Macaca mulatta: one gene and its partners. The protein of the gene in region 7 interacts with the protein of the main gene of each other region in a biochemical or structural test. Links are inferred from orthologs where the notes say so. Each region holds a gene or a part of one and is shown on either strand. Other genes may lie near its edges.

What was found.
Region 1: the proteins of CDK9 (region 7) and CCNT2 form a complex in vitro, tested with the Homo sapiens proteins (4 studies listed by BioGRID, with this or other methods). The link is inferred for Macaca mulatta from reciprocal best matches to the Homo sapiens genes CDK9 and CCNT2.
Region 2: of the proteins of CDK9 (region 7) and SUPT5H, one has a biochemical effect on the other in vitro, tested with the Homo sapiens proteins (4 studies listed by BioGRID, with this or other methods). The link is inferred for Macaca mulatta from reciprocal best matches to the Homo sapiens genes CDK9 and SUPT5H.
Region 3: of the proteins of CDK9 (region 7) and RB1, one has a biochemical effect on the other in vitro, tested with the Homo sapiens proteins (4 studies listed by BioGRID, with this or other methods). The link is inferred for Macaca mulatta from reciprocal best matches to the Homo sapiens genes CDK9 and RB1.
Region 4: the proteins of CDK9 (region 7) and GTF2F1 form a complex in vitro, tested with the Homo sapiens proteins (2 studies listed by BioGRID, with this or other methods). The link is inferred for Macaca mulatta from reciprocal best matches to the Homo sapiens genes CDK9 and GTF2F1.
Region 5: of the proteins of CDK9 (region 7) and MBP, one has a biochemical effect on the other in vitro, tested with the Homo sapiens proteins (2 studies listed by BioGRID). The link is inferred for Macaca mulatta from reciprocal best matches to the Homo sapiens genes CDK9 and MBP.
Region 6: of the proteins of CDK9 (region 7) and CTDP1, one has a biochemical effect on the other in vitro, tested with the Homo sapiens proteins (3 studies listed by BioGRID). The link is inferred for Macaca mulatta from reciprocal best matches to the Homo sapiens genes CDK9 and CTDP1.

The regions. Positions count from the first base shown.
Region 1 is NC_133417.1:26,562,804-26,566,427, reverse strand, and holds part of CCNT2 (cyclin-T2), read right to left. Parts: intron 3,578-3,624; coding exon 2,159-3,577; 3' UTR 1-2,158. UniProt on the Homo sapiens protein: Regulatory subunit of the cyclin-dependent kinase pair (CDK9/cyclin T) complex, also called positive transcription elongation factor B (P-TEFB), which is proposed to facilitate the transition from abortive to production elongation by phosphorylating the CTD (carboxy-terminal domain) of the large subunit of RNA polymerase II (RNAP II).
Region 2 is NC_133424.1:50,555,112-50,558,735, forward strand, and holds part of SUPT5H (transcription elongation factor SPT5), read left to right. Parts: intron 1-1,890; coding exon 1,891-2,056; intron 2,057-3,624. UniProt on the Homo sapiens protein: Component of the DRB sensitivity-inducing factor complex (DSIF complex), which regulates mRNA processing and transcription elongation by RNA polymerase II.
Region 3 is NC_133422.1:27,573,559-27,577,182, forward strand, and holds part of RB1 (retinoblastoma-associated protein), read left to right. Parts: intron 1-55; coding exon 56-172; intron 173-2,622; coding exon 2,623-2,679; intron 2,680-3,101; coding exon 3,102-3,133; intron 3,134-3,214; coding exon 3,215-3,291; intron 3,292-3,624. UniProt on the Homo sapiens protein: Tumor suppressor that is a key regulator of the G1/S transition of the cell cycle. The hypophosphorylated form binds transcription regulators of the E2F family, preventing transcription of E2F-responsive genes.
Region 4 is NC_133424.1:7,269,443-7,273,617, reverse strand, and holds the start of GTF2F1 (general transcription factor IIF subunit 1), read left to right. Parts: upstream 1-1,303; 5' UTR 1,304-1,545; coding exon 1,546-1,557; exon of another isoform or gene 1,558-1,622; intron 1,623-1,641; coding exon 1,642-1,688; intron 1,689-2,562; coding exon 2,563-2,635; intron 2,636-4,175. Other genes in the region: adenylate kinase isoenzyme 1, read right to left, coding at 687-870, 1,237-1,302. UniProt on the Homo sapiens protein: TFIIF is a general transcription initiation factor that binds to RNA polymerase II and helps to recruit it to the initiation complex in collaboration with TFIIB. It promotes transcription elongation.
Region 5 is NC_133423.1:3,679,816-3,684,239, reverse strand, and holds the start of MBP (myelin basic protein), read right to left. Parts: upstream 2,864-4,424; 5' UTR 2,661-2,863; intron 1-2,660. UniProt on the Homo sapiens protein: The classic group of MBP isoforms (isoform 4-isoform 14) are with PLP the most abundant protein components of the myelin membrane in the CNS. They have a role in both its formation and stabilization.
Region 6 is NC_133423.1:1,304,046-1,308,392, reverse strand, and holds the start of CTDP1 (RNA polymerase II subunit A C-terminal domain phosphatase), read left to right. Parts: upstream 1-1,476; 5' UTR 1,477-1,651; coding exon 1,652-1,965; intron 1,966-4,347. Other genes in the region: uncharacterized protein LOC106994590, read right to left, coding at 897-1,313. UniProt on the Homo sapiens protein: Processively dephosphorylates 'Ser-2' and 'Ser-5' of the heptad repeats YSPTSPS in the C-terminal domain of the largest RNA polymerase II subunit. This promotes the activity of RNA polymerase II.
Region 7 is NC_133420.1:19,920,627-19,924,853, reverse strand, and holds the start of CDK9 (cyclin-dependent kinase 9), read left to right. Parts: upstream 1-1,390; 5' UTR 1,391-1,438; coding exon 1,439-1,530; intron 1,531-1,991; coding exon 1,992-2,073; intron 2,074-2,810; coding exon 2,811-2,901; intron 2,902-3,239; coding exon 3,240-3,406; intron 3,407-3,506; coding exon 3,507-3,678; intron 3,679-3,836; coding exon 3,837-3,985; intron 3,986-4,227. UniProt on the Homo sapiens protein: Protein kinase involved in the regulation of transcription.

The DNA of each region.
Region 1 (3,624 bases), on a different chromosome or scaffold from region 7:
AACAATTCTGCAAATTCTTAGTGAAGTTTAACTATAGTCACAGACCTTAAATATTCACATTGTTATCTATGTCTACTGAAAATAAGTTCACTACTTTTCTGGATATTCTTTACAAAATCTTATTAAAATTCCTGGTATTATCACCCCCAACTATACAGTAGCACAACCACCTTATGTAGTTTTTACATGATAGCTCTTGTAGAGGTTTCACATCTAAATTATCAAGAAAGCCCTTCCCTCCCTCATCTTGCACTCGCTTAATTCTATACTAGTCCTTGGATTATGTACCACTGTAAAAGTATAACTGTATCAAAATTACCATGTTTATGGATACAATATTATGCCATACAGAGCAACAAAGTTACATATAATGACAAAGATCACTAAAGTTATGCAAGACAAGAACAAATGTTAGGACATGCTACCTAGGCACAGTCCCTACAAAGAGGCTCCTAAGTACCCCAAGTTCAAATAACATTGACAAAATAAAGAACAATTATCTTTAAAAATTATAAAGCTATTAGATAATTGCTAAATAAAGGTAGAGCACAAGATTAAACTCTAATATTTACAAACTGCAACATACTCGAGTAAAATTACAATTGTGCACATATCAGTGGCTTTGTAACAAAAATACAGAAAAAAAAATTGTTTTCAGTTCAACAAGAGGTTGAATCCAATCAATCTCAAATATACTCAACTCAAAGATTTACCACAGAATAAATTCAAGATTAGCTGATAAACAAGAGCCATATTACTGGTGTTTAGGACAAAATCTAAACAAGTTAAAATCCAATGTTTGATCAGAAGTCAGATGACTGTGCAAACTTTACCTCAACAGAAATACACTGAGATGTGCAAACAAATGTAAAACCTCCACTAGTGGTTTGCCTAGGAGGCTGACCTCTTCTTTCTTACAGAGCTTCCTGATAACCATAACTATAAATACAGGTACAATGCACAGTCAGTAATCTTTTCTTTTTTATTTATTGTTAGAATATAAAAGAATTGAGAGAGCATAGGTTTAATTTCATTTTTATAAGGAAGACTACATTTACCTGAAAAAGAAATATGGCATCACACACAAACACGCTTCAGGGAAGGAGTATATTTAAGAATGTGGTGTCATTCTGAATGCTAAAGGAAAAGTGATCCCCGTTTACTGCTAAAATATGTAGTGTAAAATTCTTTAAAGGAAACAACTCACTAAGTCTCTACTAGGTAAGTTATTGTGAATTTAGTTTTCAAATCACAGTAATCCACATAACCATTATTAACAGCTCTGTTTCATAGAACTGCAACAAGCCAACAAACATTTAAATGCACTTCACATCAAGAGTATGTAAACTTTATTTTTTCCTCTTCAAGCCTTCAGAAAGTTAGGGGCTATTTCAGCAGCCAATCTGGTCAGAACCTCTGAAGGCAAAATTTCAGTGCCTCACAGTGTACGTGACCATCTGTGGCACTGCATACACATCTGGTAGTGAAGTGTCCCCTATCAGTGGCTTCCAGTAAGGCCTAGAGTTTAAGGTTAACGTAAAAAAGTGCCACCTTTGTTTTAGATTAGTGATGGACTCTGACAAGATAAAATAAAGTTATTCTGTATATTGTTATACTTACAAGCAGCTCCAATCCTGAGTATTTATGGTAATATCTAAACATACAAAAATGTATGTACATTTTTCTCCACTTTCTTGTAAACAGTTATCAGTATACTGTTTTATCCCTTTATCTTTGAAACATGCAAATCATACATACAAGTATAAATACACAAAAGAAAACAATTTACACTCATTCAAAAGCCAAGCAACAACAAAAAATAGCTACAGTATTCAAATCATAAATAATGAATGCTTGAGGCATCTTATATTCCTAGAAGCAGCCAGCCATTCATCCTAATGTTCTTAGCTGCAATTGTAGAAATACTGAGTTTTGCACCTTCCATGCTTTTACAGTATTTATAACACTATCATATGTGGAGATAAAGACTTGTTTACTATAATCTCTTCTTTTCAGAATGAAGAATAAAGCAGCACTTACAAATATTGAAGCAGTGGCAGCAACAGCAGGGGTTACCACTGCTAGATCAGAAGGAATTTTTCCATTCTAACAATTTTTAAATTAAAAAAGTAAAGGAAAAATTGACCTAAACAAATTATTACATGTTCATTCCTTGGGCACTTAACAGCGAGTCCAGCATGTCGAATGTGTCTTTGTAGTCCATATGCTGGCTGCTTGTACTGTACTCGTGATTGGCATCAGGACCGTTGGTCTCCACTGGCTTCTTGTCCAGTTTCACGAGGGTGCTGAGATGTCCGTAGCCCACCTGGTATGTGACAGGGGGAGGAGGGGGTAAGGGATGGTTAAAAACAGAGTTGTGAGAGGATATATACTGCTTAACAGAGGAGGAAGAACTAGATGAACTACCTGAACTTTTGGAACTTTTGCTCATTTTGGAGTGGTGGTTGTGAGATGCATCATTGACATGCAGCCTCTTCCTTGAAGAGCTGGAGCTAGAGGAAATGCCATCACTGCTCAGGCCAACAGGACTCCTCAGAACAGTGGGTGGTATTCCGTCGGCACTGTGTTTACTGCCACCACTGCTGCTGCCACTATGCGAGTGGGAATGCTTGTGGCTGCTGGTGTGGTGGCGGCTTGAAGGATGCTCCTTGTGCTTCTCCTTATGGTCTCTGCTAATATGTGGGCTTGAATGCTTGCTCTTCCCACTGCCTTCATCAGAAGAGCTGTGTCTTTCTGAAGAGGAAACTTTTATTTTCATTTTCAGTTCTTCTTTACTGGCGCTTTTATCAGTGGGTGGTATTGGAATCCGTAATTTCAGTGATCCACTCTTTTCCTTTTTATCTGCCATGTATTTTTCAGTATTTGCAATGGGTATTTTCATTTTAATGGGAGAAGTAACAGAACTGCTGCTGGCTGCCTGTGACTGCCCTTGTTTGTGCTGCTGTTCTACCTGGGCAGCTATATAATGATCCCTTACATCAAGATCAAGAGTTTCTAGTTTACGCTTTTCTCTATATTTGTCTAAAGACATTTTCTGAGGAATTATTCCTGGAGTAGCAGAAATTGGCCCATGGTGTTTACTGCTCCCTGCTTTATGAGTATATTCTTGCTTAACAGAAGAATGATCTGAAATTTTGTCAGGTCTGTGATGTAATCCTGAATGCAGTGATATAGAAGGTCCCTGCTGGAAGTTGATGTTGTACTGGCTACCAGACAAAGATGTCTCCTGTTTCTGTGAATATATCTGCTCTGTCCTTGCTGAGTCTTGATGTTGAGGCCATTCCTGGTGTGATGACAAACCGTATGAAGTACTTGGCATTCCTGTTGCTAGCACTGACAAATTATCAGATGTATGGCTGTCTTGAACAGAAATATTTCCTGAATTTAGAGGTACTGGTGCAGGGAATGCTGATGTAGATGGTTTCTGAAAACTTGGGTTTGTAGGCACACCAGTGACACTATCTACTAAAATGGAATTCTGGACCAAAGATGAACCAAGAAGTGGTGTCTCTGATACCTGTCCATCTACTTTTGGTTTCCTAGCCGCCTGATTAGCCTATTAAAATAAAACACAGAAGAAGCAGTGATATAGAAAAACAATTT
Region 2 (3,624 bases), on a different chromosome or scaffold from region 7:
CCTGGAGGTGGAGATTGTAGTGGGACGAGATCGCGCCACTGCACTCCAGCCAGGGCAACAGAGCGAGACACCATCACACACACAAAAAAAGAAATGCTCAGCTGGGCACGGTGGCTCAAGCCTGTAATCCCAGCACTTTGGGAGGCTGAGACGGGTGGATCACAAGGTCAGGAGATCGAGACCATCCTGCCTAACACGGTGAAATCCCGTCTCTACTAAAAAATACAGAAAACTAGCCGGGCGAGGTGGCGGGCGCCTGTAGTCCCAGCTACTCGGGAGGCTGAGGCAGGAGGATGGAGTAAACCTGGGAGGCGGAGCTTGCAGTGAGCTGAGATCCAGCCACTGCACTCCAGCCTGGGCGACAGAGCGAGACTCCGTCTCAAAAAAAAAAAAAAAGAAATGCTCAACCTGTGTTAGGTAAATAGATTGTAGTAATGACATGGAAGAAGTTGTGAAGTTAATGAGTTACAGATTGAAGTTCGGTATGCATCCATTAATGTTGTTGCTGGTATGGAAAGAGGGATTAGAGGCCAGGAGAGTAGGGAGGAGGCTGGGGTAAGGATCCAGGGGTTAGAGGGCAGTGTCGTGGCCTAGGCTCAGATGTATGGGGCTGGGGGGAAAGGATGGGTTGGAGAAATGATGTTCACAGGCAGAAAGGATGAGGATTTGGTGCCTGTCGGTAATTGGAGGAGGCCAGCACAGGTCTAGGGGAAGACGTTGAGGTCAGTTTGGGACACAGTTGGTATGAAAAGGCTCAGAGGACATCTGGGGGAGGCATCCAGGATGCTGCTGGTGCATAGAGGTCTTGAATTCTGGAAAAAGGTGGGAGTCTAGAGACAGATGAGGGTGTCGTCTGTAGAGACAGGAACTGGGGTCATGGAAGGTAAAATGTCCTGGGAGAGAGTGCATGGAGGGAGAACAAAGTGGCCCTGGACTGAGCCCTGGTAATTGATGTCAGACTTGAAGGGGTTAATAGTAAGAGGAGCTTGAAGAGGAGCCGTTGGAGTTTTGAGAAAAACCAGGAGAGCATGGTACAGCAGAAGCCAAGAGAGGAACATTTCTCCAGGGAGGGCATGGTTGGAGTGCCAGACGCTGCTGGGATGGTAGGGAATACAGAATGGCCACAGAATTAGCAACAGGGCTGGCCAGTGATCTTGGTGAGCAGTGTGGACTAGAAACAGAGATGGGAGTCACTGTCACAGAGATGTCCCCCACCACCAAGGGAGAGGACAAGTTGGCCTTGGGGAGTTGTCGAATGGGAAGAGATGGGCTGGTTGCTGTGGCTAACACCTGTAATCCCAGCACTTTGGGAGGCAGAGGCGAGTGGATCACCTGAGGTCAGGAGTTCAGGACCAGCCTGGCCAACATGGTGAAGCCCTGTCTCTACTAAAAAAATACAAAAATTAGCCAGGTGTGGTGGCGCATGCCTGTAATCCCAGCTACGCAGGAGGCTGAGGCAGGAGGATTGCTTGAACCCAGGAGGTGGAGGTTGCAGTGAGCTGAGATTGTGCCACGGCACTCTAGCCTGGGAGACAGAGTGGGCCTCCATCTCAAAAAAAAAAAAAAAGAAAGGAAAAGAAATGAGGCCCAAGGACCAAGCTTCATCGAGCTATTATAGTTAAAGACCCGCTGGAAAGTGAGCAAGAAATCTAGTGCAGGGAGAAGCCCAGGTCAACTCCCAGGGTTGGTTGAGTGGCTGGGGAGATGGCAGTGCTGTTGCTGAGATAGAATGGTAACCAGAGAGCAGGCTAGAGTGAAAGGGGTGTATGCAGGGCAAAGGGGGCTGTGATTGACCAGGGCGATCTGAGGTCAGATTTAGGGTGGGGAACTTGGTTTTCGGATTTTGGGGTAGTAGAATTCTGGTGCTACAACCCTGCCTGACACCTGTAGGTAGAGGAAGAACGGCGGAGTGCGGCGGGCAGTGAGAAGGAAGAAGAGCCTGAGGAAGAAGAAGAGGAGGAAGAGGAGGAGGAATATGATGAGGAAGAGGAGGAAGAAGATGATGACCGGCCCCCCAAGAAACCCCGCCATGGAGGCTTCATTCTGGATGAGGCTGGTATGTCACAGTGCTGGGCCAGTGCTGAGCAGAGGCTGAGCTTCCACTTCTAGTTCCATTTCTTTTTTTTGAGACAGAGTTTTGCTCTTGTCACCCAGGCTGGAGTCCAATGGTGCGATCTCGGGTCACTGCAACCTCCACCTCCCAGGTTCAAGCGAGTCTCCTGCCTCGACCTCTCAAGTAGCTGGGATTATAGGCATGTGCCTTCACACCCAGCTAATTTTTTGTAGTTTTTGTAGAGACGGGGTTTCACCGTGTTAGCCAGGATGGTCTCGATATCCTGACCTCATGATCCACCCGCCTCAGCCTCCCAGAGTGCTGGGATTACAGGCGTGAGCCACCGCGCCCAGCCATATATCCATATATTTTTTTTGAGACAGAGTCTCGCTCTTGTTGCCCAGGCTGGAGTGCAATGGTGCGATCTTGGTTAACTGCAACCTCCGCCCCCTGGGTTCAAGCGATTCTCCTGCCTCAGCCTTGTGAGTACCTGGGATTACAGGCGGCTGCCACCATGCCCAGATAATTTTTGTGCTTTTAGTAGAGACGGGATTTCACCATGTTGGCTAGGCTCGTCTCGAACCAAAAAACAAAACAAAAAAACACACACAATCACAGGATCATTATGATCTTTTTTTCTTTTGAGATGGAGTCTCACTCTGTTGCCCAGGCCGGAGTGCAGTGGCGCGATCTCAGCTCACTGCAACTTCTACCTCCTGGGTTTAAGCGATTCTCCTTCCTCTGCCTCCTGAGTAGTTGGGATTACAGGCGTGTGCTACCACTCCTGGCTAATTTTTGTATTTTTATTAGAGGCAGGGTTTCACCATGTCAGTCAGGCTGGTCTGAACTCATGACCTCATGATCTGCCTGCCTCGGCCTCCCAAAGTTCTGGGATTACAGGCGTGAGCCACTGCGCCTGGCACCATTATGATCTTTTAAAATCTGACAGTGGTTTGTACTTGTCATGGAAAGCTCAAATGACTTGAAATTAGGTAACCTGAAAAGGTAGTCTGACAGATTTGGGGCCCTTCTAGCCTGGCTCCACTGTTTTCTCCATGTAGCCCTGGACAGCGTCCTATGTGTCACTGAGTCTCCTCCTCTCTCAGTGCAAGGGGGAAATAGTTCTTTCTGTTACAGCAGGGATATGGCGAGGATTTGGGGGACCATGCATATAAAGCTCGTTAAGTTGATGGCGACCTAGAATGTAATGCCTAACCTAGGAAAAGCCCTCAGAAAACAGGGTTGTTATTTGTTAAGGTTACGTAGGTCCACGTTATAACCACTTTTCTGTAAACTGCTTTTTATCGTTCCACAGTTGCAAAAGTAGAGAAACAGAGACAGCTTAGGTTAAATGACTCAAGGTGTATAAGGAAAGTTTCTGGGCCGGTGCAGTGGCTCACGCTTGTAATCCCAGCACTTTGGGAGGCCAAGGTGGAGGATTGTTTTAGCTCAGGAATTTGCATATCGCAAGACCCCATGTCTGACAACAACAACAACAAAAAATTAGCCGGGCTTGGTGGCTTGCGCCTGCAGTCCCAGCTACTCAGAAGGCTGAGGTAGGACGCTCGCTT
Region 3 (3,624 bases), on a different chromosome or scaffold from region 7:
TTAATTCTGATTACACAGTATCCTCGACATTGATTTCTGTTTTTACCTCCTAAAGAACTGCACAGTGAATCCAAAAGAAAGCATACTGAAAAGAGTGAAGGATATAGGATATATCTTTAAAGAGAAATTTGCTAAAGCTGTGGGACAGGGATGTGTCGAAATTGGATCACAGGTAACTTGAATTCATTTTAATTAGTGGTACTATAGAGTAATAATGTTAAAAGCAGCATCTTTCCAGTTGGTATAAATACTCTAACAGTATTTGTCTAGTAGTATAAAATACTGGCAGATACTATATCCCTGCTGCCTGTGGATGTTGCTATTTATAGGAAACTGTATGGGAAACTACCTCCCACCCCATTATAAAAGCTATGTAATAAAGGAACACATACCACTTGTAGAAACTTTAGAAAATACAACTAAGAAAAAAATTGAAATCTTTGATATTAAATTTTTGATTTTGCTTTGACTTCTACATGTATGACTGTTCATGTATGCATATCCTAATGTGAATGGGACTATACTATACATGCCATTTCTCAGTGATATTACTGAGTGATATCATTATTATTTCAGGAAATCTAAAGCTAATATAATAGGTAAGAGTATGGGCCATGGAGTTACAGCCCTGGGTTTATATTTGGTTCTACCATTGTCAATCTTGGACATGTCATTTAACTTCTCTGAGAATCAGGTTCTATATTTGCTCTGCTTTTTTGTGTGGCATTAATGAGGATAATATACAAAAATATATTGGAAAACTGTAGTCCACTGTACACATTTATTTCAGTGTAGTGAGGTTATATTTTGATGCCATCAGTGATTTAAACATTGATATTTAATGGTTCTTTTTGATCCTACAGCCATGCGCCACTTAACAGGCATATGTTCTGACAAATGCATCATTAGGCAGTTTTGTTGTGTGAACCTGGTAGAGTGTGTCTATACAAACCAATGTGTTACCATTTGTGTATCTAAACATATCCAAATACAGAAAAGGTACATTAAAGATATAGTATAAAGGATAAACAATGGAACACCTGCACAGAGCACTTACTATGAATGGAGCTTACAGGATTGAAAGTTGCTCTGAATGCGTCAGTGAGTGAATGTGAAGGCCTACAACATTACCTATGACATTACTGTACACTATCATAGACTTTATAAATACTACACTTAGGCTAAACTAATTTCATAAACATTTTTTCTTCAGTAGTGAATTAACTATAGCTCACCGTAACTTTTTTACTTTATAAATCTTCAGTTTGGAAAAAACTTTTGACTCTTATAATAACACTTAGCTTAAAACACAAACACCTTGTCCAGCTGTACAAAAATATTTTCTTTCTTTATAATCCTTATTCTATATGCTTTTTTTCTATTTACATTTTGTTTTCAATTTCATAAACATTTTTGCCCAAAACAAAGGTAAACACACACATTAGCCTAGGCCTACACAGGATCAGGATTAATAATACCACTGTCTTCTGCCTCCAAATTCTGTCCCAACTCTTCAGGGACAATAAAATGCATGGAGCTGTCATCTCCTATGATGATGATGCTATCTTCTGGAATATCTCCTGAAGGAGCTGCCTGAGGTTGTTTTACAATTAACTTTTTTTTTTTTTTTTTACAAGTAGAAGGAGGATGCTCTAAAATAATGAAAAGTATAGGATAATAAATATAAACCAGTAACATATTCATTATTAAATATTATGTACCATACATAATTGTATGTGCTATACTATGACTGGCAGTGCAATAGGTTTATTTACATCAGCATCATCACAAAGATGTGAGTAATGCACTGCACTACAACATTACACTAAACAAAAGGAATTTTTCAGCTCTGTTATAATCTTATGGGACCACTGTTATATATGCAGTCAGTTATTGACCAAAAACATTGTTATGCGGTGCATGATCGTGTATGAGATTTTTGCTCTTAATTTGGAATGAAATAATATGGTGTGTGTTTATATCTCTAAAATTTGGTTATTCTTTCAAATAATGGGAACCAGTTATTTGGTTAAAACGTCTTGCTCATAAAGTCAGTTTGATCTGATTTTTTCTGTGTCAGTTTTACTAAATTTATGGACAAAGACTGTCCTCTTAATCCTAGACAACCATCTTGAAAATACATGTCCTAGGTCATGAGAAATGTTATAGAAGGCACATAAAGTGCTTAAAATAGTACTGGGCATATAACCTATCTTTAGTATGAATGATATAGACTGAAATGAGTTAAGGAAATTCAGGTACTGGACCTACCCTCTTGTTAATTTACTTGGGAATGTTAATCACCACTTAATACTTAAGTCTTGAGTTTTAGACAAGCTAGCTTGTCTTGGCGTTTTCTTGGCGGCCATATTTCTAAGAAGGGTGAGAAGTATGTTTTAAGAAAAGGCTTTTTAAAAAATTAGTAATTGTCAGCTGGGTATAGAAGTGCATGCCTATAATCCCAGCCTCTTGGGAGGCCAAAGCAGGAGGATCTCTTGAGCCCAGGAATGTGAAGGCCAGCCTGGGCAAAATAGTGACACTCCATCTCAAAAAAAAAAAAAAATTAGTAGTTGTGATTTTCTAAAATAGCAGGCTCTTATTTTTCTTTTTGTTTGTTTGTAGCGATACAAACTTGGAGTTCGCTTGTATTACCGAGTAATGGAATCCATGCTTAAATCAGTAAGTTGAAAATAATATAAAAAAATTTCAGCCGGGCATGGTGGTTCACACCTGTAATCCCAGCACTTTGGGAGGCCGAGGTGGGCAGATCATGAGGTCAAGAGATCGAGACCATCCTGGCCATCTTGGTGAAACCCTGTCTCTACTAAAAGTACAAAAATTAGCTGGGCATGGTGGTACACGTCTGTAGTCCCAGCTACTCAGCAGGCTGAGGCAGGAGAATCACTTGAACCCGGGAGGTGGAGGTTGCAGTGAGCCAAGTTCGTGCCACTACACTCCAGCCTGGCAACAGAGTGAGACACCATCTTAAAAACAAAAAACAAAAAATAAACCAAAAAAAAACCAACAAAAATTTCAATGCTAACACAAATAAGGTTTCAATTAAACAACTTCTTTTTTTTTTTTTTAATTATCTGTTTCAGGAAGAAGAACGATTATCCATTCAAAATTTTAGGTAAATTTTTTACTTTTAGTAAAACAATTTTTTTTTCTTTTTATAAAAGTAAATATCTTATAATCTTTTTTTTTCCTTTAGCAAACTTCTGAATGACAACATTTTTCATATGTCTTTATTGGCGTGTGCTCTTGAGGTTGTAATGGCCACATATAGCAGTAAGTTAAATTTTCATGAATAAACATTTTTGTTCAATTTAAAGTTAAAATGTAGTGTGTTTCTTTGGTGGGAGGAGAGGGATAGTGTGAGGTTAAGGAGAAGGAATGCTTATTTTAGATCACTATATACTGAACAATGTAATTGGTCATTATAAGCCATTTAAGAGGCTTATTTGAATTATTTGAGGCCATCTTGGGGATAATATTTCACTAGGCTCCTCTTCTGAGTATACTGGTATACTGAATTTAGAAAAGGTACATTTTGAAATCCCTCCGAAGACCTGTGAGATTGTAGAGTGCCAAAGGAGTATTCAAGAGTGGCCTCTACTGATA
Region 4 (4,175 bases), on a different chromosome or scaffold from region 7:
CAAAGTGCTAGGATTACAGGCGTGAGCCACCGTGCCCGGCCGTTTACTCGTTCTTGTCTCCTCCATGCCAGACTCGACTCCATGAGGGCAAGGACTATTTCTGCCTCCCTCATTCCTATATTCCTAGGAGTTGGCAGTTCCTGACATTTAGTGGTGGATGAGGAATAAATGAAACCAGACACATCGACAGTGTCTGTAGTTCATGGCCCAATTTTTGTGTCTTGCTCCCCTTCCCTTTGCTTAGCCAACTCCTATGCATCCCTCAGTGCCCAACTGAAACCTCCCCTCTTCTCTGAGCCCTCAGAGCCCACTGTGCTTCTCCTGCTCCTTCCTGGGTTGTAGATTCCCATGTTATGAGTCTGTCTCCCCCACGACACTGTAACCCTCGAGAGGACACTGTAACCCTCGAGAGGACACTGTAACCCTCGAGAGGACACTGTAACCCTCCGTTGGGAGCTGGTTTGACAGATTCACCTTGCGGGGCCCCGAACCCAGGAGGTGCTCGAGTATTTCCGAAGTGGAGCAATGAATGGTTGCGCCGTGAGCATGCGCAGTTGTGTTACTGCCATGACTGGGGCGTGTGTGCATGCCTGGAACGGGGTAGGGGATCCTGCATCTCCCTACTGTTCTCTGCAGCCTCCTTCCCTTCCCCCCAGGAAGCCAGCCAGCCGCCCCCGCGACGTTACCCTTCTCCTGGGGCCTCAGAGCCCTGCCCATCTCGGGCAGCTTGGACTTGCAGAGACCCATCCAGCCAGCAGGCCTTGGGGTGGTCGCTCCCCGACCCCGCCCAGGCTCTGACCCCTCCTGGCTCCGCACAACGTCACAAGGGTCCCCGCCCCGGTCATTTTGCGACAATGACGGGGTCCATTCCTTCGGGGGAGGAAATGAACCCCAAACAGGCCCATGGGGAGCCAAGCAGCGGTTCGACCCAACCGGAGTAGGCCTCGGTTGCTATGGTGACGCGGCCTTCTTGGCCCTCCCCAACCCCGGTCCAGAGCGATATGGCGCATGCGCAAAGTGCCTGGGGGCCCGCAAGGAGGACTCTTCTCCCTCTCCCCACCCAGGATGCCCCGCGGTCCTTGGGTGTGACGTCACGAGGGAGGGCGGCCCCCCATTTGATGAAGTTAACTGTGTTGTATAAAAGAGCGCCAGCGACAGAGGCCGGTTAGTTTATCTCAGACTCGGCCTGGGTTTGCTGAGTCTAAGAAGGGACCGTGGTGGCCCTTTTGAGGTGACCATAGCCGCCGAGGAGCATAAGTGACTGCGCATTGAGGCGGCCACAGTGGCTAAGAAGGTTGCCATCGCGACGCGGCCGCTGGAGGGTTTCGCTTCCGGGTTAAGCGGCCGCAGAAGCGTAGACGGAGTAGCTGCAGCGCCTCTTCCGGTTACCTTTTCCCAGTGCCGGAGGCGCCTGGGGTTGGGGTCTTCGCTCAGGGACAGAGACCCGACAGCGAGCGGCGGCTTGCCCGGGATCGAGGGACGCGCACGCCAGAGGAGACGAAAGGAACCCGGGTCGGACCAGATCGGAACCACTGACCATAGCCCATGGCGGCCCTAGTGAGTGTGGATTTGGCGGGGTTCCGGGGTCCCGACGGCGACCTCGGCAACTCCTCACTCACCGTCCGGTTCCTCTTTCCGCAGGGCCCTAGCAGCCAGAATGTCACTGAATACGTCGTTCGAGTTCCCAAGTAAGTGTCCAGCCCCATCTCCCCCTCCTCTCCACCCTCCAAAAATGAAAACCTTCACGGTCTTCTTAGCCAGGCGTTTCTGGCCCTGTCTGTGATTCTCCCTCCAGACTGGGAGAGACTTGGAGGGCAGGGCTGGGATTAAGCTGAGGCTTCCCTGGAGACAACCCTGCTTTTTTAAACGAATGAATGAATGAGTGCATTAATAACACGGCGATCCAGCCCCCTGGCCTAACCTTCGATCCCATGATGCTCAGGCCAGCTGTAAAGAACATATTCCTCGTCCTGTTTCAAAATGGTCGGGCTATCTTTCCTTTCTAGGCTTTTGTACATCCTGTTCCCTCTGCCATGAGTGCCTCCCCTCAACCCCTAAACTGTGACTCTGCTGGGTGAATTCTTGTTGATTCTACAAAGCTCAGCTCCAGTATCTTCCTCCTCCAGGAAGCCCTCCATGCCTGTCCTCCCTCCTCCCCAAGGCTGAGTTCACAATAATCTCCACATCTTGGGTTCCCTCAAATCTTTGTCCCTCCATCTGCTCTTCTTCTGCCTGGGGTCAAGAGGGGATGGGTCTAGCTTCTCTGGCAGACTGGGAATCCTTGGAGTCTTCTGTATCCAGTGTTGCCAGGCAAAACAGGCTGAATGAATCGAATCGGGGTGGGTTTGTTGAGTGATTGAATTGAATAAATGATTCAATTGAATGGAATGATTGAATTGAATTGATGGTTCAATTGGATTGAGCGATTGAATTAATGATTTGATTGAATTAATGATCCAGTTGGATGGCTGATTGAATTAATGGTTCAATCGCATTAATTCATTAAATTAATGATTGAACTGCTGTATTGGATTGACACCACCTCTTTCTAATCCACTCCAGGAATACAACCAAAAAATATAATATCATGGCTTTTAATGCAGCCGATAAAGTCAACTTTGCTACGTGGAATCAGGTAAGTCCCTGGGTCCTGGGGGTTGGGAGCTGGGGTGGTGGGAGAACATGACCCTGACCTTGGTGATTGTAATAGTTGCTTAACTGTCATAGTAACTAAGTCTTAATTTTCTCACTTTTCTCAAAATGAAGAAAAGATAGATGACAAAGGATTGGGTGCAGTAGTTCACACCCCTGATCTCAGCACTTTAGGAGGCCGAGGCAGGAAGCTTGCTTAAGGCTAGGAGTTCAAAACCAGCCTGGGCAATGTAATAGCAAGACCCCAACTCTACAAAAAAATTAAAAAATTAGCTGGGGCTGGTAGTGTGGGTCTGTAGGCCTACATAGGAGGCTGAGGTAGGAGGATCGCTGGAGCCCAGGGGTTCAAGGCTGCAGTGAGCTATGATTGCATCACTGCACTCCAGCCTGGATAATAGAGCAAGACCCTGTCTCAAAAAAAAAAAAAAAAAAAAAAAGTCCGGGTGCCATGGCTCAAGCCTGTAATCCCAGCACTTTGGGAGGTCGAGGCGGGTGGATCACGAGGTCCGGAGATCGAGACCATCTTGGCTAACATGGTGAAACCCCGTCTTTACTAAAAAAATACAAAAAAGTAGCCGGGCGAGGTGGCGGGCGCCTGTAGTCCCAGCTACTTGGGAGGCTGAGGCAGGAGAATGGCGTGAACCTGGGAGGCGGAGCTTGCAGTGAGCTGAGATCCGGCCACTGCACTCCAGCCTGGGGGACAGGGCGAGACTCCATCTCAAAAAAAAAAAAAAAAGAATGACAAAGGCCCAGGTCAAGCTCCTGGGTGTCCCTGTAAGTTAGGTTTGGTAGGCCCACCGGAGGCCTCTCCTTAAAGGAGAACATTCAGAAGTTGTGCCCACCGATGGGCATTTTTGACCAGGGTTTATCTGGGCAAGGGAGGGGACTGGGCTGGGGGCTTTCCCAGAGCCCCTGCCATCAGAGGCTCTAGAAAGGAGTTTGGGAGCCATTAAAGTGTTTTCAACTGGGAGGTTGTAGTGTGATCTGGCTGTTGTGGGGAGACAGACTGTGGGTTTGAGGGCAGTTAAAGGGAGACCGGGTAGAAGCAACTGGTCTGGTCTAGGTGAGTCCTGGTGGGCACTGGGGGCAGTGGAGGTTATGAGATGTGGCTGATTCTAGAGTGTTTTGGAAATGGTATATATGGACCTTAAATCAAGAGCTTAAGGGTAATTTGGATCATATTAGCCACATAGGTCACGATAAATGGTAACATTTGTAGAGATTTTGGTGCCTTAATGTCAGCAAATGTTGCACAATGAGATTCTTTTTATTTATTTTATTTATTTATTTTTTGTGATGGAGTCTCTTGTTGTCCAGGCTGGAGTGCAATGGCACGACCTGGGCTCACTGCAATCTCCACCTCCCAGGTTCAAGCCATTCTTCTGCCTCAGCCTCCCAAGTACAGGTGCCTGCCACCACGCCCAGCTAATTTTTGTCTTTTTATGAAGTTTCGCCATGTTGGTCAGGCTGGTCTTGATCTCCTGACCTCAAGTAATCCACCTGCCTCAGCCTCCCACCGTGCC
Region 5 (4,424 bases), on a different chromosome or scaffold from region 7:
GAGGCTGAGGCAGGAGAATCTCTTGGACCCAGGAGGTGGAGGTTGCAGTGAACCGAGATTGCACCACTGCACTCCAGCCTGGGCGACAGAGCAAGACTTTATCAAAAAAAAAAAAAAAAAAAAGACAAGGAGTAATTAGAATATTTTTTCTCTTTTATTGACAACTAAGAAAGCTAAGGAGAGGATGATGAACAAAGACGGATGCCAGTGGCCTTATGGTCAAATCATTCTTGAAGGGAAACGTGTGTGGGACATCTCTGGGTACACTCACTCATTATTAGGGGTGGAATTTTAAAAGGAGGACCCAGGAACACCTTTGCAAGCCATCCTTTTCACCACGGCGGTGCAGAGCAGCAGTTAGGCACTGGTGCAGACTCCCTGGACTGAATCCTGCCCTCTTCTCATGTGCCCTTAGAATAACTTAACCTCTCTGAGCCTTGTTTCCTCATCAGTAAAAAATGAAAATATGAATAGGATGGCGACATCCAATGAGAGCATCCTAGGGCCGTCCCAACTGTTATCCGAGGTGACAAACCGCTCTCAAAAGAGAGTCTGGCAATGTGCAAGTGGTGGATAAACACTCCCTGGGGACAGAAAAGGCACAGAGGAAACTGCTAATCTTAAGCATGTCATATTTTTAAAGAACTTGGAGGAGGATTAAAAGTCAAACAAAATAACTTACAATTAACATTGACAAATTCAGGCAGAAATAGAAACACCACACGAAAGTGCGGTCTTTTTTTTTTTTTTTTTTCCAGCGTTTGGGGGCTAACTTTAATCAGTGCACACAGCTAGGACCGCCACTGACCAAACTCAAACCCCATGTCTCAAATCATGGAGGAACCGTGAGCTACCAGGTGTAAAACAAGCGACGCATCTTACGCTTTCTTATCTCTGGGCAGAATTGTGATACTTTTGGAGGATTTTCAAAGAAGATTGAACAAAATAGCTTTGTTTAACCCGGAGTTAGCAGAAGTGGTTGTTTCAGAACAGTTAACTCCCTGGGAGTTACTCCAGCATTTACAACAATTTTTAACTGGGTTCTTTCCCCTCAGATTTCACAGAAAACAAAACAAAGCCCTAAAAAACAAAAGACACACACACGCACATATACACACACACCCCTCTGCTGCGGTGCCCTTTCCCCTACAAAACCCTAAAAAACAAAAGACACACACACACACACACACACACACACACACACACACCCTCTGCCGCGGTGCCCTTTCCCCTGGCCTTCTCTACTGAAAGGCAGGTGGGTTCCTGGCTCTCGGCCGTATCCACAGCCCCAGCCCAAACGCTAAGGAGGTGTCCATCACTGGAGGTGGCCGCCAGGGAGCTCCGGGCAGGACCTTGCTCAATCCATATGGTTCCCTGACTTGAGGGTGACCGTCCTTAACCCGTCCCCCGGAGCTTCGCCAGATAAAATGTCCAAAAAACACATTGGATGTTCCCTGACGTTTCCTTCCTCTGAAAAACTCTTTCCAGGCGGGACGTTCTGTGGTCAGACCAGGCAGCGGCCTCGCCGGAACGAAGTCCACGCCCCTCCCAACCCAGCACCCAGCGAGCCTACGCGCCCCTCACCCAGGCGCAGAGAAACCGAGCACTTGTTGATTCTCATGTTGTTGCAATTGGAAAACGGAACAAGGAACCAGAACGCGCCTGTTTCCAGCCAGAGTCGCACTGGGGTCCCCAAAGACGCTTGAATCTTTTCCCAAGCCCCACTCCACCTCCCAAAACGGGGGGCTCTGGTGGACGCGAAAGGACACAAGGCGCTGCCCCCGGCACCGTGGAAAATACAGTGTGGCGGCAAATGACCGCAGGTCACACACGCCGGCCTCGGGGGCCACCGAAACCGGACGCACCCGGCCCAGGACAGGCAGTGGGGCCCGGGAGGCGGCTGCAGGGAAGACCCGGGCGGGCCGGCGGGCGGCTGCAGGCGGCGCACGTGGGCTCAGGTGGGCGCAGCGACCGGCCGGGCGGAGGAGCCCGAGACAGGCCCTGCGAAGGCGGAAGCCCGTACCCGGGCTCTCGCGGCCGCCCTTGGAGCTCAGAGGGAGACTGCGCTTCGCCCTGGGGGCAGGGTCGGGGGCGCGATCGCGCGCGGGGCCCCCGGGGTGTGATTAGCAGGCGCCGCGAGTCGGGAGGACCCTCCAGCCCGCCCTGGCCGCCAGCGCCCTCTCCGCACCCGCCCAGAGTGGCCGCTTTTGACCGCCGTCCCCTCCCACCCTAGACTCTTCCCCTCAGCCCCACAGCCCGAGGCCGAGCGGTGGCAGCGACCCTGGGACCGCCGGGCCTGGCTGGAGACCACCCCTGGGCAACTGTCAGGGTCCGGCCCCGGCGCTGTAAACCCGCGTCTACACCCGCGCCCACCCCCTCGCAGTGGGGATCGGGGCCGGCGAGGTGGGTTCGGGTCAGGGAGGACGCCGGCTGCCACCTGCCCGGCCACCTGCGCCGCTGCCCAGGTTCCCCCTGCGCGTCCCCAGCCAAGAGAGGGACCCTGAGTCCGGGCTTCGGGACAGCTCCTGTCCCAGATCTTGCGTCCCAGGCTCCCGCGGGGCTTGGGTCCGGGATCCCGCCCAGGTCTCCGCGGTCCCCACTCGGAGGGGCACAGAGACAAAGGCGGCAGAGCCGCCCGCCCGTCCCTGAGGGTCACCCACCGGCGCTGCGCTCGCTGCTCCGAGGCCGAGGGGCGCCGCGGGGTCCAAGGCCCTGCTCCCCCTGCTCGGCCCGGGCGGGCTCGTCTCGGCTTCAAGCGCCGACGCGCGGGGTCCCCGGGCAGCCTGCGCCGCCTTCCGGGGTCGGGAGACCGGGGCCGCCGGGGCTGGAGGCTGCTTCTCTCTGGCGCGCGGCGGCGGTGACTGACGGCGGCGGCTCGGAGGGACGGGCGCGCACCCCGCTCCCCGGCCCCGCCTCCCCGGGCTTCCTGCGAGCCAGGTAAACACAGGCCGATCCCGCCCGGCCCGCCCCACCCCACCTGGACGCTGCCGCCGGAGCCGCCCCGGGAGCTCGGAGGACCCGGGGCCCGCTCTGCCCACGCGGAACTCGGGGGGCGCACGGGGCCCACGCGCAGGGTCAGACCTCAGAGGGGCGGCCTGGAGCCTCGCCCGCTGCCGAACTGGGCTCCCAACTGCGGCCCGTCGACCCTTCCCGCGTGGCTTGGCCTGCGAACCCACCCCGACCCCGACCCCGACCCCGACCTCGACCTCGCGGGAGGAGTGCCAGGCCGCATCTCCCCGCGTCCTCAGGGCCTGGAAACCCCAGAAACTGCCGACGCACTTGGCGCGGCCCTGGCTCTGCAGGAGGAGTCAGCCCGGCCTGGAGGCGAAAGGAGCCTGGCAGGTCCTCCCGGGGCGCGCCCTCCCTCCCCTGGAGCCCAGGCCAGGCCCATGTCCGGCCGGCAGGTGCCCCGCTGGGAGCTGGGGGCTGGGAGCTGGGGGCGCACCTTCTCCTGCAGGACGGGCGCTGGAAGCGCGCGCGGAAAAGACAGGAAAACACGCGCAGGTGCGAGGAAGCAGCCTGGTCCCGCAGCCCGGAGACATCGTAGTCTTCGTCGCTCTCTTGTTAAAAAGAAAAAGCCTGCTGTTTAGCCGTGACTCACCTGCACGCAGATTTAGTGGTCAGAGATCTTTCCCTGGATTCTCGGCCTCCTAAAGGTGATAGAGGAGGAGGCTGGGGGAGGCCCTGAATGAGGCCCCGCGTTCCTCCTGACCTACACCCCCAGTCAGGGATCTGGATCTGGAGCTTCCGGAGGCAGCCTGGGACCCACACAGTTTGTTAGGAAGTGAGGGAGAGGGGTGAGCCCTATCCCGGCCCTCGCTGGGAGGCGGGACACCGACTTCAGCGTGGGGTCGGGGTTGCGGCCTAAAACCAGCCTCTCCCAGAGGCCGGGAGGATTTAGCAACTGTGTTCAAATGCTGGCAACTGGAAGAGAAATAGTTCCACAACGACCCAAAAGCATTCAGTCTGGTGGTTTCCTCAGGAGAGATTTTCAAGTGGAGAGGTTAGGAAGGTTCTGGGACTTTCAGGCTGAAGGTGAGGAGGGAAAAGGGTGCCAAAGATAGTGTGTTTCTCCAATTTTTCTGCCCCCCAACCTCACTTTAAGTCAAGGATGAGCGGAGTGGGTGTGGGAGGTTGGACAGCTGCCCTAGGAGCACGGGTGGTGACAACGAACCCGGGTGCACCCAGGTCCCAGCTGAAGTCACTCAAAGCTCAGACTGGGGAAGCTGGAACACTGGGTCCCGTTTTAGATACCTGTTTTAGCATCAGAAACAGCTTTTCCTCCCCAAAACATCTCTTGGCTTTATCTCAGTGACTCCACAGGGCGGGGCCACCTTCCTGCCTGCAGATGTCCCTGTATGCTGGGCTCCAGAGCGTCCCTCAGGCCACAGTGACAGCAGCAGCACGTGGCCTTCTGTTTGGTG
Region 6 (4,347 bases), on a different chromosome or scaffold from region 7:
GTGGCAATAGCGCTACAAACAGCTATAAATTAACCTAATAACGCCACACTGGACACTACACCCACACTCAACAGCTTAGAGTCAGTCACTAATCAATATTATTTCTGTAAACCAGTGAAATTCCTGACAAACAAGTTCCTTTTAGTCGACTCCCTGGCTCCCTTTCTTGCCTTTAAAACCCACTGCTAACTGCTAATCGGAGTACACACTCAGGGTGCCCTGAATTTCTGCTCCTCAAGGGTGGCCCAAATAAACTGTCTACTTAAAGAAACTGTGCCTCCGCTTCCTTTTAGGCCGACAGTTTCCAAAATGTTTACTAACATGAGAAAAGCCACCATATAAAAGTGAGGGGAAAAGGCAAATACAGGATAATCTCAATTGTACATAACATTTATATATGTAAGGACAAAGATACACAGTAAAAAAAGAACTCGGGCACGTATTAAGGCTGAAAAAGTAAAAACAGTCCAGAGCGGCCTGGCTCAGTCCAGCCTCCCGCCTCGGCCTGCCGAGTAGCTGGGACCTCAGCCACCGCGCCCGGCTAAGTATTAATGAATCTATTTTAGAGATGGGGTCTTGCTATGTTGCCCAGGCTGGTCTCCAACTCCCAGGCTCAGGTGATCCGCCCGCGTCAGCCTCCCAAAGTGCTGGGACTACAGGCTGGGCCGCCCGCCCGCCAGCTTAATTCACGTAAACTCCCGACAAACGTAGAAACTGGCTCTCCTTTAATAAGACACTTGCGGCTGCTGCTCATCAGGGTTCGCCCGGGGCCACTGGGACCACGCGCCGTGCCCGCCCTCCCGCTGCGGTCGCTCGGATTTTCTGAGCCCACCAGGCGCTTCCGGGCGCCTTGCCCCAGGCGGGCCCACCGCCTGCGCGGGCCGAGGGCGGCGCACCTGCCCCTGCGCTTCCGCGTCGAAGGGGAGGTCGGAGGAAGAAAAGACCACAGCAGCTCCCGCGGCGTGGGGTCCGCTCTGGACACGGAGCGGGACACGAGGCGGGGCCCCCCGGACGCCAGCTGCCTCAGGTCTCTCTGCCCGCGGCGCGCACGGCATGCCAGGACCCGTAGTCTCGCGACATTGGGACTCGCAGTGCGCGACGGAAGTCGAGGAGAGCGGCTCGCGGTGCATGCCGGAACTCGTAGTCTCAGGAGGCTGGGTCTCGGCGTGTGACGGGGTAATAGGCCGCAGGCTTGCGTTGAACGCTGGGACTCGTAGTCCCGCCATGCCCTGCCCGCGATGCACGCCGGGATACCAAGTTCCGAGCGCGCCAGGACTGTCAGTGGGACTGGGAGACAGCGGGCCGCGCTGCATGCCACTGCTCCACGGTGCCGGCTCCCCGAGGAAAAGTAGGGCGCAGAAACGCAGTACTCCGCGGCCGGCACGCAGGCTTGGTCCCAAGACGGAGCCGGCCCCGACACTCGCGCGGCGCTCGTGTTTACACACGCACGTACGCACGCACGCACGCGGCGCCCTTGCCGTGACGTCACGCGCCCTCCAGGAAGTCGGCGCGGGCCAGGCGGCGGGTGGAAGCCGGTACCGAGAGGAACTACAAGCGTCGCCGCCCGGGTCGTGCCGCCGCGGTGGGCGCTGCGCTCTGAGCGCACCGCAGGCCCCGTAGCAACCGCCCGCCCGCCCGCCCTCTGTCCGCGATGGAGGTGCCGGCCGCGGGCCGCCTTTCCTCCGAGGGCGCCCCGACGGCGACCGTGGCCGAGGTGCGCTGCCCGGGGCCCGCGCCGCTGCGCCTGCTGGAGTGGAGGGTGGCGGCGGGCGCGGCCGTGCGCATCGGCTCGGTGCTGGCCGTGTTCGAGGCCGCCGCCTCCGCGCAGCCCGCTGGGGCTCCTCAGTCTCGTGCAGCCTCCGGGGGCTGCGTGCGCCCCGCGCGGTCGGAGCGCAGGCTGAGGTCGGAGCGCGCGGGCGTGGTGCGGGAGCTGTGCGCGCAACCGGGCCAGATGGTCGCTCCAGGGTGAGTGCGCCGGGCCGGGCGGGGCCGAGGGCGGGCGGCTCCGGGGAGGGGTCCTGGGGGACCGCCCGGGCTGCTGCGGCCGCGTGGGCAGGGGCGCCCAGGGGACGGGGCGATAAAGCGGGACGCGGGCACTGCGCTTCTCCCCTAAAACTAGATAGTCACCACCTGTGGTTTTACCAATGGGGAGCATTTTGAGATGAAAGGGTCCTGCGTAGCGACACGAAGTTACTGTTTGGGAAAGCGATGGTGTTTGTTTTTTCCTTCTGCAGTGATAGTCCCCGCCCCTTCCTTTAGCTCCACCTTTGTGACTTGGGAAAACTCATGGGTGGCTGTGAGCACAAGAGTCATCAGGCAGGCTCCAGACCTATTATTGATGGGCGTGTGCACATCTTTAAATTTTTGTAAACTTTGTGAAACGCAGTTGTAAAACCTGGTGCAGCTCTGTTTCGTGGCTAAGGAACGGGCGGAACTCAGGCCTGCAGCGAAGGCAGTGGCCCCGTGGTTGACCACAGTGGGCATTGTTGCAGGTGATGTGGGCGTGTGACAGACTCCACAGCTGTCCGTAACTGTGCTCTGACCCCAGAACCCCTTCTGGGATGTGTTTCCGTAACACCGAAGCGTCCAGCCGTGTCTGAATCTACCCTTGTGTTCTGGGATGAACAGGCATGTAGCCACGCGTGTGCGCCTGGCTGTGGTGGTTTTGATTGTCAGAACAGAAACTCCAGGGAGAGGTGGGCACTCCAGCCTGCAGTGGGCCGGGCCTGAGCTCCCTCTGGGAATGATGCCGCTCCTTCGGGGGATGCCAGTCTCTCCCTCCTCGGCAGCCGCCGTTCCTCGTCCCTGTGGCTTGCCCTGACCCTGTGTTGGTTGAGAATCTGCTCTGCACCTGGTTCTGCAGGAGTAAGGATTGGGACAGGAGTCTTCCCATCACAGCCCCAAAACGTCCTGGCTCTGCTTCGTTTGGAGACAGAGCCTGGGTCCTTGACCCTCTGCACGGGCACCCACTCTGTCCCCTGCGTGCTGGTGGGTGGGGCTGGGAGGTTGAGGGCCGTGCCTCCCAGGAAATGCCTGCACGGCTTCCTCAGTGGGCACTGGTCATACCTGCGAGGATCGTGGAGGCAGACCCCAGTGCTGGTGTATTCTCTGGGCAGAAAACCCCAGGATCGAAGAGCCGTACTGATGTTTCGTTCTGTTCCTCTGATTGTACAGAAAGGGCCACTTTGACCTGGACAGGTGAATAACTTGGTTATGTGACTAGGTAGTATTGAAACTCCATGTTCAGTCAGTCTAGTGAATAAAACCAACCCAGTGCATCAATCAGCCGGCTAATTAGTTTGATGACGGGTTCCCAGCAGTCAGTACTTTTTTACAGGGAGGTGCTGTTTGAGATCTTGGGGTACCTCACGGCAGTGGTTCGTCACAGGGCCCTTTGAGACACTGACGTGATGTCATTTCTCCTCGGAGCGTCTGTGTGGCACCAGGTCTTCCTCTAGTTCCAGGAGGCTCGTCTGTCTGCCTCCAGTCCACTGGTGGCAGGTGAATCCCTGCCTTAGAGAAAGCCACAGGCGGTGTTACCTGGAATTCAAGGTGCCTCCTTTCCCATTTCCGTGTACTCCTGTGGGTTTGTGGACAGGGGTTTTGTGAGCATTCTGGGGAGTGTGGTGGTGTGACGTCAGCATTTCCAGAGGTGTTCCTCCCCTTGCAGTGGGCACGGGTGCCATAGATCCAGGAAGGAACGGCTGGGAAGGCTTTAGTCTGAAGCCGTGTGCGTGTGCCCTGGCAGTTCTGGTCGTCTGTTTGGAATCAGGTTCCTGCCTCGCGGTTGTTAGCTAGCTGAATTCGGGAGGTGCATTTGCAGCAGGAGTCCATGCTGCTGACAATGGCTCTGTTCGGTCCCGAGGACGCTGCCCTGGCTTGGCGGGCTGCCGTTGGGAGCCGGTATGTGTTGGCCTCCCCAAAATGCCTGCTGCACCTTTGTGGAACACAGTTGAAAATTGCTAGATTAAGTCACTTGTTGACAGATTTTGTGAACAGGGTGGGGGTTACAAGTGCGTTTCTCTGGCAGCACGCCTGTGATGGGAGTAGCGCCCTGCAGTGTAGACTTGTGGCTTTGCCGACGTCTCTGTAGAGAGCTGCATGCAGGTAGAAATCTCCGCAGCTTTTGCTTGAAGCCCAACAGTGACGCATCTCTCCAGGACATGAGTTCCAATTCAGCAGCTCTATACAGTTTGCAGCTGGCCTTCGAACAACTTGGTTTGGGCTGCGAGGGCCACCTTTATGTAGATGTTTTTCAGTAAATCATCTGCTCTCCGCATCCGTGGGTTCCATGCCTGACACTGTTTGCTGGGTGTGGAGCCCAGCCTGTTTATACAGAGGGCTGAC
Region 7 (4,227 bases):
GCATAAGGACAGCAAGCCTCCCCAGTGCTCTCCTCCTGGCCCAACCACGGATAGCCTGAGTCAAGAGAATCCCCTTCACAGTCAGACACCCAGCTTTGTCGCCGTGTGACCTTGGGCAAATGACCTCACCTCTGAGCCTCAATGTCCTCTTCTGCAAAATGGGTTAGTGATCCTGACTATGGGGCTGTTGATTCAGGATTCGGCGGAAACGCCCAGCACTTCCTGAGCACACAAAGAGTGCTGAGAAAATGGTAGCTGTTTTTTGCGATTATTGACCCGGGGCCTGATCAGCTCTGGCGCGACTCGGCGAAGGCGCGAGTCCTGCGGGTCCCATCCCTGCCTCCTGGAGAGCCAGGCTCCAGCGATAGAAGGCCCGGGCGTTGCTTGCTCGTCGCCTCCAGTGCCGCCGCGCCCCCTGGCGGCCGTCGGTTGCCATGTCAACGGAGGGTGGCGGGGACCGGGGGAGGCGGAGGCGGGGGCCGTTTTCTCCTCCCAGGGCCGGAGGACGCTCCCTCCGCGCCTCCCGCCTTCGCCTCTTGGGGGGGCACTCCGAGCCGGGGAGGAAGGGGCTCTCCGCGGCAGCCGGCATGTGGGGGTAAACTGAGGCACGCGGCTGGGCGCCCGCAGCCAGGTGCCGAGCGCGGGGCCCCACCTCCGAAGGCGGAGGAGGGGCCGCGGGCGGTGACGCGCCGAGGGCGGCCGGCGGACAGCGAGCGGGCGGGCGGGCGGGCGGGCGGTGGCGGCGGCGGCAGGTGCGGCCGCGGAGGGTGGGAGGGAGGAGGGCGGGGGCGGGCGGAGGAGGAGGGGAAGGCGAGGCCGGGCACCTCCCCCTTTATAACGCGCCCCCTCCCGGGCTCTCGGGCCGTCTCCTAGTCGGCTCTTCCCGTCTCGCCCCCTCGCCCGGCCGCCCCGGGCCCGGGCCCGGCCAGGGAGCCCCCAGGCCGCGGCTCGGGGGCTGCCCCCCCGCCCGCCGCCCCGCGCAGCCCGGCGGAGGCGGCGCCGTCGGAGGAGGAGGAGCAGGGCACTGCGGCTGGCCCCGGATCGGGCGCCAGAGCGGCAGCAGCTTCGGCAGCAGCGGCGGCCCGGGCCCATGCAGCGGGACGCGCCACCCCGAGCCCCAGCTCCGGCGCCCCGGCTCCCCGCGCCCCCGATCGGGGCCGCCGCCAGTAGTGGCGGCGGCGGAGGCGGGGGCAGCGGCGGCGGCGGAGGCGCCTCTGCAGCTCCGGCTCCCCCTGGCCTCTCGGGAACTACAAGTCCCAGGGGGCCTGGCGGCGGGCGGCGGGCGGAAGAGGCGGGGTCGGCGCCGCGAGGCCGGAAGTGGCCGTGGAGGCGGAAGTGGCGCGGCCGCGGAGGGGCCTGGAGCGCGGCGGCGGCGGGACCCGGAGCGGGAGCGGCAGCAGCAGCGGCTGGGGGCGGCGGCGGCGCGTTGGAGGCGGCCATGGCAAAGCAGTACGACTCGGTGGAGTGCCCCTTTTGTGATGAAGTTTCCAAATACGAGAAGCTCGCCAAGATCGGCCAAGGCACCTTCGGGTAAGGCTGGGCCCCTCGGGGCCGGGAGCCGTGGGCCTGCACCCCTAGGGCGGACGTCGGGATGCCCCGGGCCCCGCCCGAGTTGGTAGAGAAACCGTCTGTCCCCGGGCTTGCCCACTGGTCTTTAGGCCGCGCCGCACCCCGCCCCGGCCTGAAGGAGCCGGCTGGTGGGGAGGAGCCTGAGGCCGGTGGTGGGGGCGGGGAGGGGCTGCAGAGAGGCGCCCGTGAGGGGAACGGGATCTCTCCAAGAGACGCCCAAGTGAGGAGAAGGGACTGAGAGAAGGAAGCAGAAGCTCCGAACGAGACAGGGTGCCGGGTGGCGGGGTAGCCGCGTGCCCTGGGTACTTACCCCAGCCCCGCCCGGGAATCTTTTTGCTGCTGCCCCTCCTCCTGTAGTGGGGGAGGGGCGGGCCCTGCGGAAATCGCCTGATGAGCTCTCGGGTCTCCCTTTCCGCCTGCAGGGAGGTGTTTAAGGCCAGGCACCGCAAGACCGGCCAGAAGGTGGCTCTGAAGAAGGTGCTGATGGAAAACGAGAAGGAGGGGGTGAGTACGGATCGGGCGTGCGGGCCAGCCGTCTAACTGCCCAGGACCCCGGGTCGGTTTTCCACCCTGCTGCTTCTAGGAGTCTCAGGTTGAGATTTAATTTTTTTCGTAGTAGTTCAGAAATTTCCAGGGAATTTGGCCTCCACCCTAAAACTAAATGCTTCATTCTTAGGCAGTTATGGGTGAGACCGGGAGGGGGAGTTGATGCATGCATCGTGTGCACTTTAGTTCACGAAGTTAGGAAGCCTTTAAACACCTTTTTTTAGTGTTAAATTTTGCTTAATGTTAAAGAAAGATACATATGCATGCAAATTTTTGAAAAGTGACTAATACTCAGTTATTTAATGTGTTTAAAAGGAGCGGTCCCTCCACCCCATCTTAGCTCAAGTACAACGTCCCATAAACCTTCCTTTTCCTGATGTGCTTTAGCGAGGACATTTTTGAATCGTCATGTTTGTTGCCAACGAAACAGCCATAGAGCTGAAGTTTGAAGGCTGAAACCGCCGAGCATTTAGTGGCTAATAGCAAAGTATTGCTGTTTCAGTTTGTTGTCTCAAATCATCTCCTTGAAGTGTGCATGCTCCTACTATATCCATTTTACAGGCAGAGCTTCTGAGACAGCTGGTTTCAGAGCCCATGATCTTGCTCTGTCTCCCATCTTGCCTCTCAATATAGACCCCAGGGCTGGGCTCTGTACTGCGCTCACTCTTGACCACTTTCCCCTCTCTCCCACCCAGTTCCCCATTACCGCCTTGCGGGAGATCAAGATCCTTCAACTTCTAAAACATGAGAATGTGGTCAACTTGATTGAGATTTGTCGAACCAAAGGTAAGTTGTTTGGATCTTATGAGGAGATGACACTTGTAGCCTAAGGTTTTGTTCGTAAAGTTGGAACTAGACCCACCTAAACTGCCTCCTCTTAACTCAGATGGACCCATGGTGACTGCTTTCTCTGGTCCTCTTTCATCGTAGCTGGTGCTTCCTCGGGGTCTGCCCTGGCCCAGAAGAGGCACTCAGAAAATATTTGACCAGTGAAGGAAGGAACAGACAGATGCTCTGGAGGGCTTGGGTGCCCATGGGTTGGAGCAGGAAGAAAGAAACTGGTTGTGGGAAAGTGTGTTGGGTGTGGCTTTCTTGACTTTTTCTTCCTTGTATTCCTGCCTCAGCTTCACCCTATAACCGCTGCAAGGGCAGTATATACCTGGTGTTCGACTTCTGCGAGCATGACCTTGCTGGGCTGTTGAGCAATGTTTTGGTCAAGTTCACGCTGTCTGAGATCAAGAGGGTGATGCAGATGCTCCTTAACGGCCTCTACTATATCCACAGGAACAAGGTGGGGGCGAGAGCTGGGAGGAGGACCCAGGCTTGGGCTGGCCTTGGCTCCCACTACCGGGTGGATATCACTGAAGGAGCCACTCTTGCCCTTCTTGCAGATCCTGCATAGGGACATGAAGGCTGCTAACGTGCTTATCACTCGTGACGGGGTCCTGAAGCTGGCAGACTTTGGGCTGGCCCGGGCCTTCAGCCTGGCTAAGAACAGCCAGCCCAACCGCTACACCAACCGTGTGGTGACACTCTGGTACCGGCCCCCGGAGCTGTTGCTCGGTGAGGACTCCCGAGCGGGCCGAGGGGGGTGAGGGCCAGGCATCTACCTGGCCCCCGCCCCCCCACTGCCAGGGCTTCTTGAGCTGCCGGCCCTGGGGCATTGAGTCTCAGGAGGCCTCCGGGCTCAAGGGGCCCTCCTGGTGCGCTCTTCTTCCCAGGGGAGCGGGACTACGGCCCCCCCATTGACCTGTGGGGTGCTGGGTGCATCATGGCAGAGATGTGGACCCGCAGCCCCATCATGCAGGGCAACACGGAGCAGCACCAACTCGCCCTCATCAGTCAGCTCTGCGGCTCCATCACCCCTGAGGTACGGGGTCCCGGTCCCCCGGCAGAGGAGTGGGGAGTGGAATGGAGGGAGCGCTCCTCTCTGGAAGGGAGGCTGGTTTGGTGACAGGGCCTGCCCTTGAGAGCCACACAGGCTATGCGCCAGTCTTGGTTCCATCAGCCATTCTGTGGCCTTGGGCAGAACAACTGAGTCAGCGCTGGGTTTCTCTTCTGTGAACCAGAAATGTGACGTATGTCAGGGTTGGGCCTGGCATGTGGTATGTG